Linked DNA regions of Mus musculus: regions 1 and 2 are each reported to be linked to region 3. Evidence: microRNA targets listed by miRTarBase, many of them from high-throughput screens and not tested one by one. Region 3 holds a microRNA gene; each other region holds the end of a gene's coding sequence.
Evidence for each region. Region 3 holds the annotated microRNA mmu-miR-497a-5p (CAGCAGCACACUGUGGUUUGUA, at 1,734-1,755, opposite strand). A microRNA usually pairs through its seed, bases 2 to 8, with sites in the 3' UTR of a target mRNA and lowers its output. Matches are read on the target gene's strand: a 7mer-m8 pairs with bases 2 to 8, a 7mer-A1 pairs with bases 2 to 7 and ends in A, and an 8mer does both.

Region 1 (5,072 bases), not on the chromosome of region 3:
GTGAAGCAAGCAGAGAAGTCCTTGCTCTCCCACCACGCCAACGTTTGTTGAACATCTCTGAGAGGCGGGAAATGAAAGAGAGTTAAAGGGCCAGAAGTAAACTGATAAATCAAGAGCAGGCTCTCTGGGATGGCAGCTTCTTGTTCCCAGAATTCATTGTGAGAAGAAACATTGGGAAGGCACAGGAGGACCAATAAGTAAACGGGAGTAACCAAGGGGCCTAGAAAACACCCAACTCAGTGTTTGTTTAGGGACTCCCAGCCCTAGGTCTTTCCCCTCACAAGGTACATTCACTCTCTCCATGGCATGCTCTTCTGCTCTCTGATGAGTTCCGTTATCTGTCTGTGCCAGGGAACGAACCCAGAAACCCCCTAGGCTGGCATTTTCCCTGATGCATGGGTGTATGGTATGGTATATGTGTAGTGAGGTTGTGGTACATGTGGTATAGAGGAACTAACCACGTCTTCACACTAAGGTAGATATGGACTGTACTGGCTAGTTTTTTGTCAACTTGACACAGCTGGAGTTATCACAGAGAAAGGAGCTTCAATTGAGGAAATGCCTCCATGAGATCCAACTGTAAGGCATTTTCTCAATTAGTGATCAAGGGGGAAAGGCCCCTTGTGGGTGGGACCATCTCTGGGCTGGTAGTCTTGGTTCTTAAGAGAGCAGGCTGAGCAAGCCAGGGGAAGCAAGCCAGTAAAGAACATCCCTCCATGGCCTCTGCATCAGCTCCTGCTTCCTGACCTGTGTGAGTTCCAGTCCTGACTTCCTTTGGTGATGAACAGCAGTATGGAAGTGTAAGCTGAATAAACCCTTTCCTCCCTAACTTGCTTCTTGGTCATGATGTTTGTGCAGGAATAGAAACTCTGACTAAGACAAATTGGTACCAGCAGAATAGGGTATTCCTGTGACAACCTGGCCATGTTTTGGGGACGACTGTGGAAGGACTTTGGATCCATTCGGTGTTAAGAGCTCTGTGGGATGTTGTGTAGGAGCTTGGAAGATAATGTTGAGAACAGTGCAAAAGATGGAGGCCTGGCTTGTGAAATTTCAGAGGGAAAATTAAAAGACTCTTTTCAGGGCCATTGTTACTTTGTGAAGATTCTGTAGTTCTGGTTAGCTGGGGCTGAAGAATCATCTGTGATTAACAAGATACCAGAACTACTAAAGCAAAAACTTTGCATTACTGGAACTATTGATGCTGGTTAGCTGGAGCTTAGAAATTAGTGGTGATTAAGAAGAGACCAGCATCATTGAGGTGACATCTTCTGGGAAGTGTTTTCTGAGAGCACAGAGGCTGTGTTCCAGAGATAGCCAAGACTGTACCTTGTGCTGTGGCTGGACTTGGTAATGTGTAAGAGTCACCCAGGTGGTACTGGTTTTGAAGGCATGAAGGAGTCACGCAGAGCAGCTGAGGCTCGGCACTGTGAGAGGCCATGGAAGGCCATTGGTGAAGGTTCAGCCTCAGTTGCAATTGATGGCCCAGGACTGAAGGGGTCATGCAGTGTTTTGGAGATGCCAGTACCATGAGATGACCACCAAGAGCAGCAGCAGTGGAGTACAGACATCTGGAGCCTAGAGGACGACATGTGTGCTACAAAGGGCATGGCTGGAGAAGTGACCCAAGCCCTTGGAGGAGCCCAGAAGATCGTGAGTTGGATCCCAGACATTGGATGGTTGGAGATTGATTTTTGCTTTTGATTGTGCCCTGATATTTTCCCTCTTGAAGGAAGAAAATATTTTAGTGGAGCCCCACAGTTAAGAGACTTTTAATTGTAAAAAGACTTTGGATTTTAAAAGAGATGGATATTTTAAAGAGATTGAAAATTTAAGAATATGTAAAGACTGTGAGATGTTTAAAGTTATTTAGACCTTGGGGATGAGTAAGAATGTAAGGGTTGAGGCTTACTAGTGATGTGTGTTTGTGTGTCAAGTTGACAAGGGGTCAATTGTACTGTCTAGTTTTGTGTCAACTTGACATAGCTGGAGTTATCACAGAGAAAGGAGCTTCAGTTGAGGAAATGCTTCCATAAGATCCAATTGTAAGGCATTTTCTCAATTAGTGATCAAGGGGGAAAGGCCCCCTGTGGGTGGGACCATCTCTGGGCTGGTAGTCTTGGTTCTTAAGAGAGCAGGCTGAGCAAGCCAGTAAGTAACATCCCTCCATGGCTTCTTCATCAGCTCCTGCTTCCTGACCTGCTTGAGTTCCTGTCCTGACTTCCTTTGGTGATGAACAGCAGTATGGAAATGTAAGCCAAATAAACCCTTTCCTCCCCAACTTGCTTCTTGGTCATGATGTTTGTACAGGAATAGAAACCCTGACTAAGACATGGACCATGTTTGTGTGTGTGTGTGTGTGTGTGTGTGTGTGTGTGTGTGTGTGTGATGTTGTGGGGTGGTATGTATGATGTGGTGTGTGAGAGGCCAATGTGTGTGTGGTGGTATGTGTGGTCTGTGTATTACAGGTAAACATGAATCGCGTCTTAATGCTAAGGTAGAGCAGAGCCTATTTGTTTGGTACAGGTGGGATGTATGTTTTCATGGGTGTGGTGTGAGCCATGTTACACGGAAAGCATAAAGCAGATCTTCACACTAAGGCAGAGACCGACCCTGTTGATTTAACCTTTGTTAAAAGCATCACAAATGATTTATTGTTTCTTTTTTTTATATAAAGGAAAAACAAAGAACTCATCACCTCTGCTATGCCCACATGTCAGGTAAGCTCAGGGCCTGGTGGAGAGTGATATGAGCCCCTGAGCTGGGCTTTTGCCCCTGGCTGTATAATGCACGGCACCTCAGCTGATAGGCAGGGAAACCCTGTGCCTGCATGGCCATCTGCAGTGATGGAGATGAGAACAGGGAGGATCTTGGGTCTATACGCTCCAAATGTTCAAATAGAAATAGTAACAAAAAACCCAAATAGCTAGGGTAAGCCTGCCCGTGTCCTTGAGAGTGAGAGCGTGCTCGAGGAAGGCACCCCAGGCACTGGTGAGCTAAAGTGGCGGGCTATGTCCAGGGGTTCTGTGCTGACCTTGGGCCTTATGGAGACTGTCGTGTGTGAGCATCTCCTCTGTGTGGTACTGGGTGGTACTTCCATGCTGTGGGGATACAGATGGGGAAAAGGTCTCTGCTTAGGTTTCATTTGAGATAGCAAGAAGGTATGTGGGGCAAAAGTCTTAGAGTGTCATGACCTTCACTGGCACTAGGGTCCCATTTGTAGCCCCTCCCAAGGAGGACAGCCCGCAGTTACCTCTGCAGAGACCCCTGAGCCCCAGAGAGTGGCAGAAAGTGAGAGATATTGGGGTACAGTTGAGACACTCCCACAGACCAGCTTTGTGCCCCCCATAGCTACCCTGCTCTGTGCTGTCCTGTCTATGACGAGCGTATAGACAGACACCCAGCCCAGTCCTTAACAGAGAGACTAAGTGCTGGAGCTGTCCTGTGAGGGTCTGTCTGAGACCTCTTCTTCTATATGGGTCACATTTCTTCCTTAGGGAGAACTGATGGGTGCTGGTGAGTGTGCCAAACAGCAGCAGCAGCAGCAGCAGTGGGTGTTGAGACACCCGGGCCTCGCTCCAGGCCAGCCTGGGCTCTCTGGTAGGGCAGCAAGAGTCTGGAGGTGAGAGGATGGAAGAGGAGGGGAAGGGAAGGGAATACTGACTTCAGTTTCAAGGCAAAAGGTGAATGATGCCAGCTCACAGTGTCAACCTGTGCTGGGTCCCTGACTTGGCCGTAGGAGCAGGCAGCAGGCGACTCTAGGGCTACCTCTGCTGCTTTCTTTCTCTGACCGTGAAAGGGCCACAAGGCTCTGGATCCTCTAGTTCGTTTTCCCAGGAGATGCTGCCCTCCCACCCCTCTTCTGGTTGGTTCTTACAAGGGTTCCTCAAACCATAGGGCATCAGAGCCTGATGTGTTCTACTAATGTGCCTTTCTGGGGCCTGTAGTCTCTTCTAAAGCCCAGACCTGACCGGAAGCCAGCCATCAGCCTAGAAGCTGTAGAAGGGCACATCCTGCTGGATGGAGCAGGAATTGCATGTAAGGGTCCCTTCTTTTCTTGCCTCTAACCCTGTAGCCCTGAGGGAAAATCAGAGAGATAGTTGCCCCTCTAGGCCCAGCTCTGGGCATTCTGAAAGAGGGGTTCTGAGAGTGGGATTCTGATGGATCGAAGATGGCTTCTATTGCCTGCCTTGAAAACAGAAAGCTAAAAGAAAGAGCCCCCAAACTCAAATAGCTCTACCCGGGCAGGTATTTACACTGCAGTGGAGAGAGTGGCTTCCTGGAAGGTGGTGTTGGGTTGGTCTGGCCCAGAGACTTCCTGACTCTGGGGTCCTCTGCAGGGACAGGGACTGTGGGGCCAGGGCTGAGCAGGCTACAAGTCTGGAGTGGGGGTGGTGGTGGCTGCAGGCTCACCCCAGAAATAGGCTGGTCCAGCCCCAGGCAGGAGAAGCCAGGCCTGGGCTGCAGTGGCAAGATGGAGTAACCAGGGCAGCATGTTCAGGTCTAAGGACTGTGATGCCTCAGAGTCAAGGGTGGGGACTCTGTGTGGCACCACAGGCCCGTGTCCAGGTGGGTCATGAGTCGGCTGTCCCAGGATCCCATGGGCCAGCTGGGGCTGACAGGGAGAAGTGTCTGTCCTCTGAGTGGGGACAGCTAGAGGAGTTGGCCTTTCCACGGGTCTCAGAGGGTGTGTCATTCCAGCTGCAGTTGTGGTCCTGTGCCCTCTCCGGAGGAAGCAGGAGGAGAGTGTCCTGGCCAGCTGGTGCCATCAGCCCACCAGGTAGCTATGCATCTCACGAGAGTTGATGCTCAGGACCACCCCTGAGTGGTTGCCTAGGGAACAGGAGAATGCAGCCCATTAGTGAGGTTGGTGGGAAACAGACCACACAGGAACACAGGTGACCTCAGCAGCACATGGGGCCAACATGCAGTGAGGTTCCCTCAGCCTGTGCAGCTAGGTGCAGGTGGAGGTGGGGTCTCCAGTGCCCTATGTGGTAACAGGAGGGAAGTGCCAGGTGCCTCCACAAGCAGTGGTCCGGAGGAATGTGTAGTGAGGCACCCACTGACCTGTG
Region 2 (5,072 bases), not on the chromosome of region 3:
TGTGTCTCCTGAAGGTATCTGGACAATGGATGGAGAGGGTGGAGAAATCCTGTCTTGAAAACTCAGGGCAAGATCCTGTACAGGAGGGCAAAGGGGAGAGTGTTTGGCCCATGGAGAGAGATGGTGGTGGCACAGCAGGTCGCTCAAAGAACAGCTATGACCCAGAGAGTCTGCCTTGCTGGGACTCTTGGTTTCTGGACATCCTAGACACCCCACAGTCATCCTAATTGATCTCACTTTGCAGTAATGAGGCTCGGGTATTTGCTAGTGTTGAGGTGTTGTCCTCTGCAGTCCAGCGAGGAGAGGGAGGGAAGGAGGACTCTGGATGCTCTGTACTGGGATTGGGGAAAAGTTTAAGAACCAGGGAGTGCTTTGCCTCACCGATCTAGTACTAGACTGGGAGCACCTACCTGTCTTCTTATCTGGAACCTTCCAGAATCCACACACACGACCAGACATTCTCGTCCCCATGAAGGATTGATATGGTACCTTCCCAAGGGTACAAACTGGTTCTATTTGGTTTGGGCTGTTGGGAATCTAGCACACAGTAGGTACTCAGTAAATGCTTATGTGTGTTTGACTATCTGGTGGATGAATGAAGCTCTTGCCCACCAGGAGAGGCAACCTGATTTATATATGTTGCTAGCTGCTTGCTATGTCTGCTGGCAAGTCCTGCCTTCCCCTCATCTGGCCTCAATTTCCCTCTTCCCTCTGAACCATGAGGGAGTTAGTATGGTGCCTACAATATCCTTTATAAATCTTCCTTATTCCCATCCAGATGAAGTATAAGCAGTCCCCCTTCAGGCTTGCCTTAACAACCTGACCCATTTGCATGGCCCAGACCCACAGGCTCCTCAGAGAAGGCTAGGCCAAGCCAAGCAGAGGCAGGTTGGCTTGGATAGCAAAGTCGTCCATCTGCATAGACCTCTGGCCAGTGTCTGAGCTTGGGCTGTAGCAGAGCCAGACCCCATGTTTACATTACAGTGCAGATGAGCAGGGTTTAGAGCTCCTGTCCAGGTATAGTCTGGGGCTCACAATATTCCACCTAAAGTGTAGAGAGCACTTGGGAGGCTTCTAGGAATTTGGCAAGAGTATTTACATTGGGGCCAGAACAAAGGAGTAGGCTCAGATAAGAATTTGACATCAGGCTAGGACAAGGAAGTAGGCTCAAGATAAATACAGCTGAGGAATGTGTTCATTGTATCTTGATAGCCTTAAGACCCTGAATACTTGGGACCTTTGTTCCTTAACTGCTTATGCCTTGTTTGTTCCTTCACTACTTTGTTTATGCCTTAGGACTGACCATCTTTTTTTTTTTTGGGGGGGGGGGGTCCGAGACAGGGTTTCTCTGTATAGCTCTGGCTGTCCTGGAACTCACTTTGTCGACCAGGCTGGCCTCGAACTCAGAAATCCACCTGCCTCTGCCTCCCAAGTGCTGGGATTAAAGGCATGCGCCACCACGCCTGGCAGGACTGACCATATTCTTTGATGTACTCAGAATGATATAAAAGCAGACTGGAAAAAACTAAACTTGTTTCAGCCTTAGCACTTGTTGGAGTCATATATTATAATGTTGTCTAATTGTCTTTTCTTTCTTTAATCCTCACTCTCTCCCTTAGACCCTGGTGACTGACTGGCTTGGTCACTAGAGTCAGCTCAGGGGCCCTAGTGGTAACAGCTTTGATCCTGTGCAGGAGCTTTGGGAGGCCAAGAGAACCTGGGAATCCCAAGCTGGGTGATATAGAAAAAGCAGCCAAAGGCTGCAGAGGGTCCTGGCCCCAGCCTAGGTGATCATAACCACAAGGACTTGTAGTGTTTTATGGTGCCCTACCCCCATCCTCCTATGAAAACTGAGGCCACTGTGCACAGTGAGCTTCCTGTATTTAACCTCCAGGGAAGGGTAGGAGATAACAAAAGGGCTGTACAGGACCCTCAAGCTTCCTTATTTGAATAGAGATGTTGAGAAAGGACCGTGCAGGAGTGGTCATTTCATCCTACTTCTAGCCCCCAGGACAGCAAGGAGAGCTGGGTTTTGACTATGGTCTGCTCAGAGAGCCCCAGGCAAATCACTGACCTGCCCAGCTTCTAAAACCTTTTTTTCTATTAACTCCAGCCTGCCACCCAGCGGCAGGCCAGAGGAGTGTTAAGAGGACCTGGCCTGGTGCCCCAGCCTACACCCAGTCTTACTGTGGTATTCAAGATATATCCCCACTTTTCAGCTTGTCAGCTGAGGGCAGATCTGCCTCTGCCTTCTCCCACTTTGTTTTCTCTCTGCTGCTTGGAGCAGATAGAGGCAGAAGCCAGTGCCCGCCCACCCAGACAACGGGTGGCCTGCGGGTAAGGCTCAAGTACTGCTCAGAAACTGGCAGGGCAGAGGACACCCAAAGGACCCAAAGAGGACACACAAAGAGAGTAAAGGACAAAGACTCAGGCTCTGCTTCTGCTGAGCAAAGTGACACTGCAGGAAGGCCAGAGAGAAGCTTTACTAGTGTTGAAGAGCAGCAGCAGCAGCAGCAGCAGCAGCAGCAGCAGCAGCAGCAGCAGCAGCAGCAGCAGCAGCAGTCCGTTCACCGGGACTGGTCAGGGCTACCGCACTGGCTTTATCTCCTTAGCTGATCCCAATAGGAGGCAAGATCCTTGGAGGTTCTTTGTGCGAGCAGGACCAGCTGGGACCTGCATTGATCACATTACACCCAGAGATCATCAGCTTGAGAAAACAGAACAGTGGCACATAAAGGTCAACACACGCAGGTTTGGGGAGGAGCGGTTGTTGGTCAGGGGAGAGAGGGTGGCACCAGGGATGCCCTCCTCAGGGATGCCCAAGGTGCCCCAAGTCCCCAGCCTCTGGTGCAGGAACTGAGACATGGTCCCGAGAAGGGATCCTATGAACTGGATCTTGCCCAGTTTCAAAGCTGGTACACCCCCAAGGAGACAGGTCTATCAGCTGTGTGAACATGAGGGTGGATGCAAGGCAAAGGGACTGTCAAACACACAAGATCAACTGTTTATTGAGTTTTGTTGTTGTTGTTCTAAAATACTATACATTTTAAGGAGTTTCTAAACATTAAGGACTTGACAGCTTTTGGTCATTCTGTAGCTTAGGAACAAGGATTTCTGCTGGTAAGTTCTCATGACACACAGCCACAGCGAGACAGTGCTCGTGCCAAACACCGAAGAAATACAAGTTGCTGATGTGCACCACTGCACTGTCCGAGCTAACAAAATAAAAGTCCTCTTTGTGCCCATCCCTGGGGCTCACAACAGTCCCACTGCACCTGAGGACAAGGGCAACTGGAGGAACTTGTGTGTGTGTGTGTGTGTGTGTGTGTGTGTGTGGTGGAGGGTGTCGAACCCCTCCCTCTAGCTCTCCAGTGAGTGACACAGGGACTGTGAAGTCTACGATTACTACCAAGTCCTAGGAGCTTTTCCAGTGCTCGGTCATGAGCTTGGAGCCCAGGCCAATGAGAATCAGTCTTCCCAGCAGCTCCACTCAGAGGCCAGAGCCACATCCTAACTGGGTGGGCACCGTTAACCAGCCGTGCCTGTGCTTCAATGCCATGGGCTTCAAGCAGTTGACCAGATCTGCTGTCAGAAGCCACCAGCTCTCATTCAACAGTGGGTGAACTCTATAGATTTTCTGATTATCAAATAATATATACAGATATACATCGAGACACAACGGTCTAATGTAAAGCATCTTAATCTACAGATGCAACTGTTTTGAAAAGTTAGTCTTCTTACTGTTAACTTTCCAAATCACTAATAGAACTGTTAATCTGCAAAAACTGAAGCAGGGATAGAGTGAAAATAATTTCTGTATGTGGAAGTGTTGGGGAACGTTGCACAAGGTTAGCCCTGCAACTGGCACTTGCCATAGAACCCCGGCTGCAGCAACCCCACATCTGGACATAGCACAGAGAAATGAAGACAGCTCACGTGGAGAACATCTCAGATCAGTGTAGGCCATAATTTAACTGACTGGAAGAGCATATAAAAAAGTATAGCTGTACATTGCCTTTAAATTAAAACCTCAAACTCTTTACTCAGAAGATGGCATGTAAGTCTGCTCATTGACCTTGCAGATAGGACCTCATCAGAGAAAATCATCAGTGGAACAAGAATCAGTATGACCCGTCATGACTCAGGAGAGACAAGGGCGAGAAGGTGCAGATCCATGATAGAGAGAGCTGGTGGGGGTGGGGAGGGGCCTGGCTCTCGCTGTTGGACCCTATCTTCCTGTGTCTATATCTGCCCAGATGTGCTTGGAAAAGGGCCAAGTGCCCAATGAAATCACCAGCTCATCTGCCTTCAAAGCACACCAGGAAGCCAAGAACAACAGAGCCATCGTCTTTTGCAGGTGGAGTGGATGCCTACATGGCTGCTGGGGGCACTAGAGGTGTCACTGCCCAGGCCAAGGCTAACGGAGCTCCTGAACTGCCCATTTCCGTCTCTCCGCCAGCCTGCCCATGGGCTGTCACTGGATAGCCTCGACATAGTTGGCTGGGTATAGGCCAACCTGGCCGCTGTCTAAACGTCCCTTGCACCAACCCTGTTCATCTTCATCCTCTATCTTGGTCAGTTCATCCCCTGCAAGACAAAAAGAGGGTGGCCTTAGTGACAGGGGGCAACACTGACCACAGCAAGTCATCTGTGCATACAAATCCCATGTGGATATGAAACATGCTTCTAGAAGGATCCACAGAAGGTCTCCAGGGCAGAGGGACAGGCGTCCTCCTGAAGGTAAGGCAGGACCCTGGATATTCACTACTAATTTGTATTCAAAGCTTCTGACACAGAGGTCACTGTGATCTGAAGATGGCAGCCCTCAGAGCAACCCTGGAGCAAGCAGCAGTCCAGGCTAGAACCGTTCCAGGTTCAAGCCTTGTGCCTACCCCATGTGTCCTAGGCTGCTCTGCTCGGCAACATGCCCCATGTTTTCATTCTGTGCGGTGGCTCAAGGTGTTTCTGGGACTTTGAGCCACTACTGGCCTGGCAGAGACCGGGGCCAACATATCTGCTCACTAGACACTTCTATCTGCAGACAAGGAGACCAGCAGATGCTAACATATGAG
Region 3 (5,072 bases):
CCATGCATCTCTCCCAGAGGATCATGAAAAGGGCCTTTCTGGCCACTCAGTTCAGGGACTCCATTCATCTTAATCTATTAGCCCTAAGTGGATGCAAAAGTTCTGAACGTGGGGGGGGGGGGGAGGACCCTTATTACACATGAACTGGGGCCTTGACCTGGATATCTACAAAGGAACTCCTAGAATTCCTTCAGAGTGGCCCATTATTCCCTCCCCTCCCCTCTTCCCTCGGCTTCTCTGATGACACCCTAATCTGCTCTCTCTCATCTTCAGGGCTCAGATAAAGACCACTGTGAAGCGAAAAGTGTATGAAGACTCCGGCATCCCCCTTCCAGCTGAGTCACCCAAGAAAGGACCCAAGAAGATGACGTCCGGTGTCCTCTCACCTCCAAACGCCCCTCCACCCAGCAGCTCCAGTGTCCCTGAAGCTGGGGTTCCTCCCATAAAGAAACAGAAGGCTGGTGAGGGCTGTGGAGTTGCTGCCTAGGGTAGGGGTTAAAGGTCCTATCTGAGATTCAATAAGAGAATTGGGCCTGGGTCAAAGAAGGAGAGACGCTTCTCTTCTGTACGCTGGTGATTCCAGAGTGGGTAGAGGGATGTGTAGAGCATGAAGCTTTGGCAGACTGGGAGGAGGGAAAGACAGCAGTCAGGGAAACCTAGAACTTAGCCTATGCCCCCTCCCAGATGTGACACTCAGTGCTCTGAACGACTCCGACGCCAACAGTGACCTGGTGGATGTCGAAGGGCTAGGAGAAACTCCTCCAGCCAAGAAACTCAACTTTGACCAGGGTAGGAGTCCTCCTCCTCCCACGCTGGCTGGGGGTGGGGAACATACTCACCTGGATGGTAGGGGAGGGTCCCCACAGAAAACCCCTTTCTGGTGCAGGGGCCTCAGAAGGAAGATTCAGTGCAGGGGAATGGGTCAGTTAGTAATACGGCGTTTGAGGAGGTGAGGGTTTTCTTGGAAAAATCCTCCACGCTTGCTCCATCTCTGTCCGTTTTCCTTCCTGTTCCAGACAGCCTGACCCTGGACTCTGGCCTCCTCACCACCTCCGCTGATGCTCCTCTCCTCTCCTGCTGAGCCTTCCACCTCTGACCCTCATTGTTCACCCTGGACCTGTGGATCACCTGGGACTCTAAGCAAGGACTGCCTGAGAGAGGGTCAGAGGGCTGCTGGAGCCATCCACCTCGTTCCTGATAACCATGTGCCCTCGCCCTTTGACTTCTGTGTGATGGACATTTTTATACAGAAAATTATAATTAAAAAAGATTCTCTCAACATGGTGCTGCCAGCTGCCGTTCCCTCTCCTCTGCTTCGCCCTCGGGGCTTGGCCCCTTCTCAGTAGCTCTCACCACCCTGCCTGGAGCAGCACAGCCAATATTGGCAGACTCACTTCCCCATGCCAATATTTCTGTGCTGCTAGAGCCAGGAGAGTTGGGTGTGGGCAACAAAGACTCTACTTTGCTCTGTGGGGCCAGAACTCATTACCAGGGTTCCTGATAACTGGTATCAGACAACCTGGGGGTTGCAGAGGGGCTCTTTCCAGTGTCTCCTGTCCCACCTTGCAAGAACTTCATCACAATACCCTAGACGGTGTGTGTGTGTGTGTGTGTGTGTGTGTGTGTGTGTGTGTGTTGCTTCTCCAGGGTGGCCTCCCAGGGCCAGGCTCATCGGTGCCTCCCATACCCTCGCTCTAACACCACAGTGTGGTTTGGACGTGGCCACAGTGCCGTACAAACCACAGTGTGCTGCTGGGGCGGGGGCAGGACTGGGGTGGGTCGAGAGGAAGACAGCACAGGCAGTGCCGTGAAGACCCCCACCTAGAGTGAGACAGAGGTGTGAATGGCAAACATGGCCCCCCAAAAAAGCTGGGGGGGGGGAACAATCAGGAACCAGCAAAAGTAGTTTAGCAGGCAAAGGATAGGGCCCTGGCAGATGAGTCCAATGTGATAAGCTTGGAGCATTCTTCACCTCTGTAGGAATTCAGCTCTGGGGATCCTTAGGAAACGGGATGACTGGGGAAGACCAACAAACTGCCTCCCACAAAGGCAGGGACCTAAGGTTTCCTGTGTCCATTCCTCCCTCCCTAGGTCAGAACCCAAGAGAAATGCTGGAAGACACAGGGCCAAGGACAGCAGGGTTGGGAGTTGGCAGTCCAGAGGTGGTGGGGCTGGAACACGGTTGAGAGAGGGGGGCCGGAAGTCGCCCTGGGCCCTGGGCCTGCCACAAGATGGAGGCCAAAGGCAGGAAATGGAGGCCAGGGAGAAAGGGATGCAGCAGAGCCCAGGAAGAGGCTCATCTGGACCAGAGGGCAAAGTATTCAACCCCAAGTGCTGCTTCCATTCCCCATGGTCCCCCAAGACCCACGCCCCACCCACACAGCAACACTCATTAGCCCATTCACCAGGCCCAGGCAAGCAGGCCCACCCCTGAGAGCCACGTTTAAGCAAAGACAAACATGCCTTTTCCCCACCCCCAACCCTAGGCCTTCCCATAGCCCTTTCCTCCTGTCCAAGACTTGATTTTAAAAAGAACCTCCCAGAAGGCAAAAGTTTCTTCTGGAAATTTCAAAACAAAACAAAACTCTGTAAACCCTAGATATTAACCTCCCATATCTCATCCCACCTTTTAGCACCACCAGGCTTCCGACACACCCCCCCAAAACTCTTAGCAATCAAAAGATTTAAGATGGTGTGTGAAGCAATCTTTTTAGGCCCCCCTAGTATGCCAGACCCTCTCCAAGACTACCAGATCACCTATATCAAGCCCTGCCAACGCCTCCTGCTCCTTGCACCCTCCTGGACCCCCAGAAACAACTGCTGTCCCCCAGCTCCCATCCCAGCAAAGCTTTTGTGGGGCTAAAAAAAAAAAAAAGCAAACACTGTCCTAATGTCTGTAGGAATATTGGGGGCTCTCAAGTCTCAAGCTTTGGTTTCAGTATGAGGTGCTACGTCTTAGGGGTACAAGAGAAAGCTTCTCTGGTCATCCCCCCAATTTCAAGAGTTACAAGGCGCAACCCCACCCCAGCACGCACCTCCAAACCTCCCCCCCAACCGCCACGTCTCTCCTGAAAACAGGGGACACTTTCCTCCCCACTTACCTCAGCTACTCTCCCCTGAGATCCTGGTCCCCTATTTTGAAAGGAGCAAATTTTGGGGTGCATCCCTCACATTTGGGGTGCAGGAGAAAAGAGACGCCCCAGTCGCATCGCTGGCCTCCTTCCTCTCAGCTGGCTCAAGGACTGGGGAGTGCCCTGGGGTGGGGGACCCCCACAAGAGAGCTCTGGAGGGGTTCCTCCACTCCCAGTCAGAACTGGGGACACCCCCCCAAAACCCGTCCCAGCCCATCCGTCTCCAACTCGGCGGGAGAGGCAGCTGCATTGCCCCAGTCAGATTCCCCCAACACTACATTCCTCACCCCATCTAGAGGGATCCCGGGGCCCCCAAAAAATCCCAAAAAAATCTAGGATGTTGGGAAGATGGTCCTGAACTAGCTACCCAAATTTGGGGTCCTTAGATACCCCCGTTTTTTCAGGAAAATTCTGTCTTTCTCCTGCCTCCCGCCAGCCCTGCTCTGTCCCGATGCCAATTTTGGAAGTCACTCCCTCCTTCCTCCTCCCCGTTTCTCCAGGCCCCCCCGCTTGGGGGCTAGGGTCCAGGACACCTGGTTTCCAGACCGGGGGACACTCTTTAGAAGGCTAGGGGCCAAGAGGTCAAGCTCATTGCCCCTGTCTCAAGGAAGCAGGAAAGCCCGATCCTCCCCTCCCCTCCCCTCCCCCCTGGCTGGTCTCGGTGGTGGTTTAGGAAAGCCTGGAGGACTGGAATCTGCCATTGCTATTGCACAGGCAGTTTTTTTTTCCTTGAGTTGGGGGGGTGGGCGGTGGGAGGGAGAGAGGGGAGGAGAGCCGAAGAGAGCAGGGACCTAGGCGGGAATATCTGGCCTGGCTTACCCTCTAGCCCCTGCTGCCGTTGGAAACCCCTCCCCCGCCTCTCAGTTCACCCTCATTCCCAATCCTCTGTCTGCTTTCTCTTTGGGGCTCTTATCTTAAAATATCAGGGTGCAAGATTCACCCCCCCCTTGTAGACCATCACAGCCTTTCCTTGCCAGTTTCAGCAGCACTGTTAGTCAGAAAGTACCCACTTTAACAAGAGACACCCCATCTCCTCCAAACGGATTTTTTCTTCCATAAGAAATCGGGGTTCAGAGTATGAAGCCACCTTTCCCCCCTTAGCACAACAGGTCATATTCCAGTGAGTCTATGATGGACCACACTGCTTTTTCCAGGCTTCACCCTTCAAATTCTGGCCTTATTTGGGGGTTCACTAATTTTTTTTACAATCTGGGGTGCCAGGGGACTATCAGCAAAAGATAACCTAAGTCAGAAGTGTGCTTTAGAATAGGTGAACCTCCAAATCAATTTCAATTTATGACCCACCTCTCAGCTTCACCAAATGTGGCCAGTGGCAAAACACCCAGAAACTGGATACCCCCCAAACTATCCTTCTACCCTGGGGGGGCTTCTCAATTCTCTCCTGTGGAGGAGTTTCACACATAAACATGTTCACAGGAATATCCAACCCTCAAAATGAGTTTCCACAAGATTCAAATACAAAACTTTGCCCCCCCATCAATCAAGCTCTCAGCTACAGAAAGCCTTCAGATCCTCTCCTAGCTTCTGGCTCTGCCACCAACTCAATGTAACTGGGCTCTCTAAAAAGCCCCAAGTTGACCTTTATGTCCCCAAACAATCTCATCCAAACCTTGAAACAGCACTTGGAAAGAGACTATGTCCCCCAAATTAGTTGCGTACTCATGCTCCCCCAGTAGACCAGAAATTAGAGATGGACAGTCTCACATGGGAGCATCAAATCCCTCCAAACCCCCGAACTAAGACATCTTTAAAACCAGCCCCGCACCTCCAATTTGCTATCAGCTGTCGAGACTAAAAACAGGCCTTATTGACTACAATAACTTCTATGGCAAGTGACACCCCAAAACTCAGAATAGCTAACTCTGTCCTGACATCAAAGCCCTTAATGTTTTCACCTCAAATTTGGAGATGAAAATTGGA

Region 1: the mRNA of Sorcs2 is a reported target of mmu-miR-497a-5p. Seed matches in the 3' UTR shown: 7mer-m8 at 3,544-3,550, 7mer-m8 at 3,541-3,547, 7mer-m8 at 3,538-3,544, 7mer-m8 at 3,535-3,541 and 7mer-m8 at 3,532-3,538.
Region 2: miRTarBase lists Pacsin2 as a target of mmu-miR-497a-5p. Seed matches in the 3' UTR shown: 7mer-m8 at 2,555-2,561, 7mer-m8 at 2,552-2,558, 7mer-m8 at 2,549-2,555, 7mer-m8 at 2,546-2,552, 7mer-m8 at 2,543-2,549, 7mer-m8 at 2,540-2,546 and 14 more.

What each region holds. Positions count from the first base shown.
Region 1 is chr5:36,014,560-36,019,631 of GRCm38, forward strand. Sorcs2 (sortilin-related VPS10 domain containing receptor 2) reads right to left here. Exons shown (of 27, transcript NM_030889.2): 27 at 2,621-4,833. The coding sequence ends at 4,769. Among named protein-coding and RNA genes, the nearest start is that of Gm52811, 68 kb to the right of the region's middle.
Region 2 is chr15:83,373,144-83,378,215 of GRCm38, forward strand. Pacsin2 (protein kinase C and casein kinase substrate in neurons 2) reads right to left here. Exons shown (of 11, transcript NM_001159509.1): 11 at 2,464-4,587. The coding sequence ends at 4,475. Among named protein-coding and RNA genes, the nearest start is that of 1700001L05Rik, 8.4 kb to the left of the region's middle.
Region 3 is chr11:70,231,413-70,236,484 of GRCm38, reverse strand. It overlaps Mir497 (microRNA 497), which reads right to left and starts at 1,768; the gene lies at 1,685-1,768. 0610010K14Rik (RIKEN cDNA 0610010K14 gene) reads left to right here. Exons shown (of 6, transcript NM_145758.1): 4 at 274-461; 5 at 685-789; 6 at 1,021-1,281. The coding sequence ends at 1,025. It overlaps Mir497b (microRNA 497b), which reads left to right and starts at 1,669; the gene lies at 1,669-1,793. It overlaps Mir195a (microRNA 195a), which reads right to left and starts at 1,443; the gene lies at 1,350-1,443.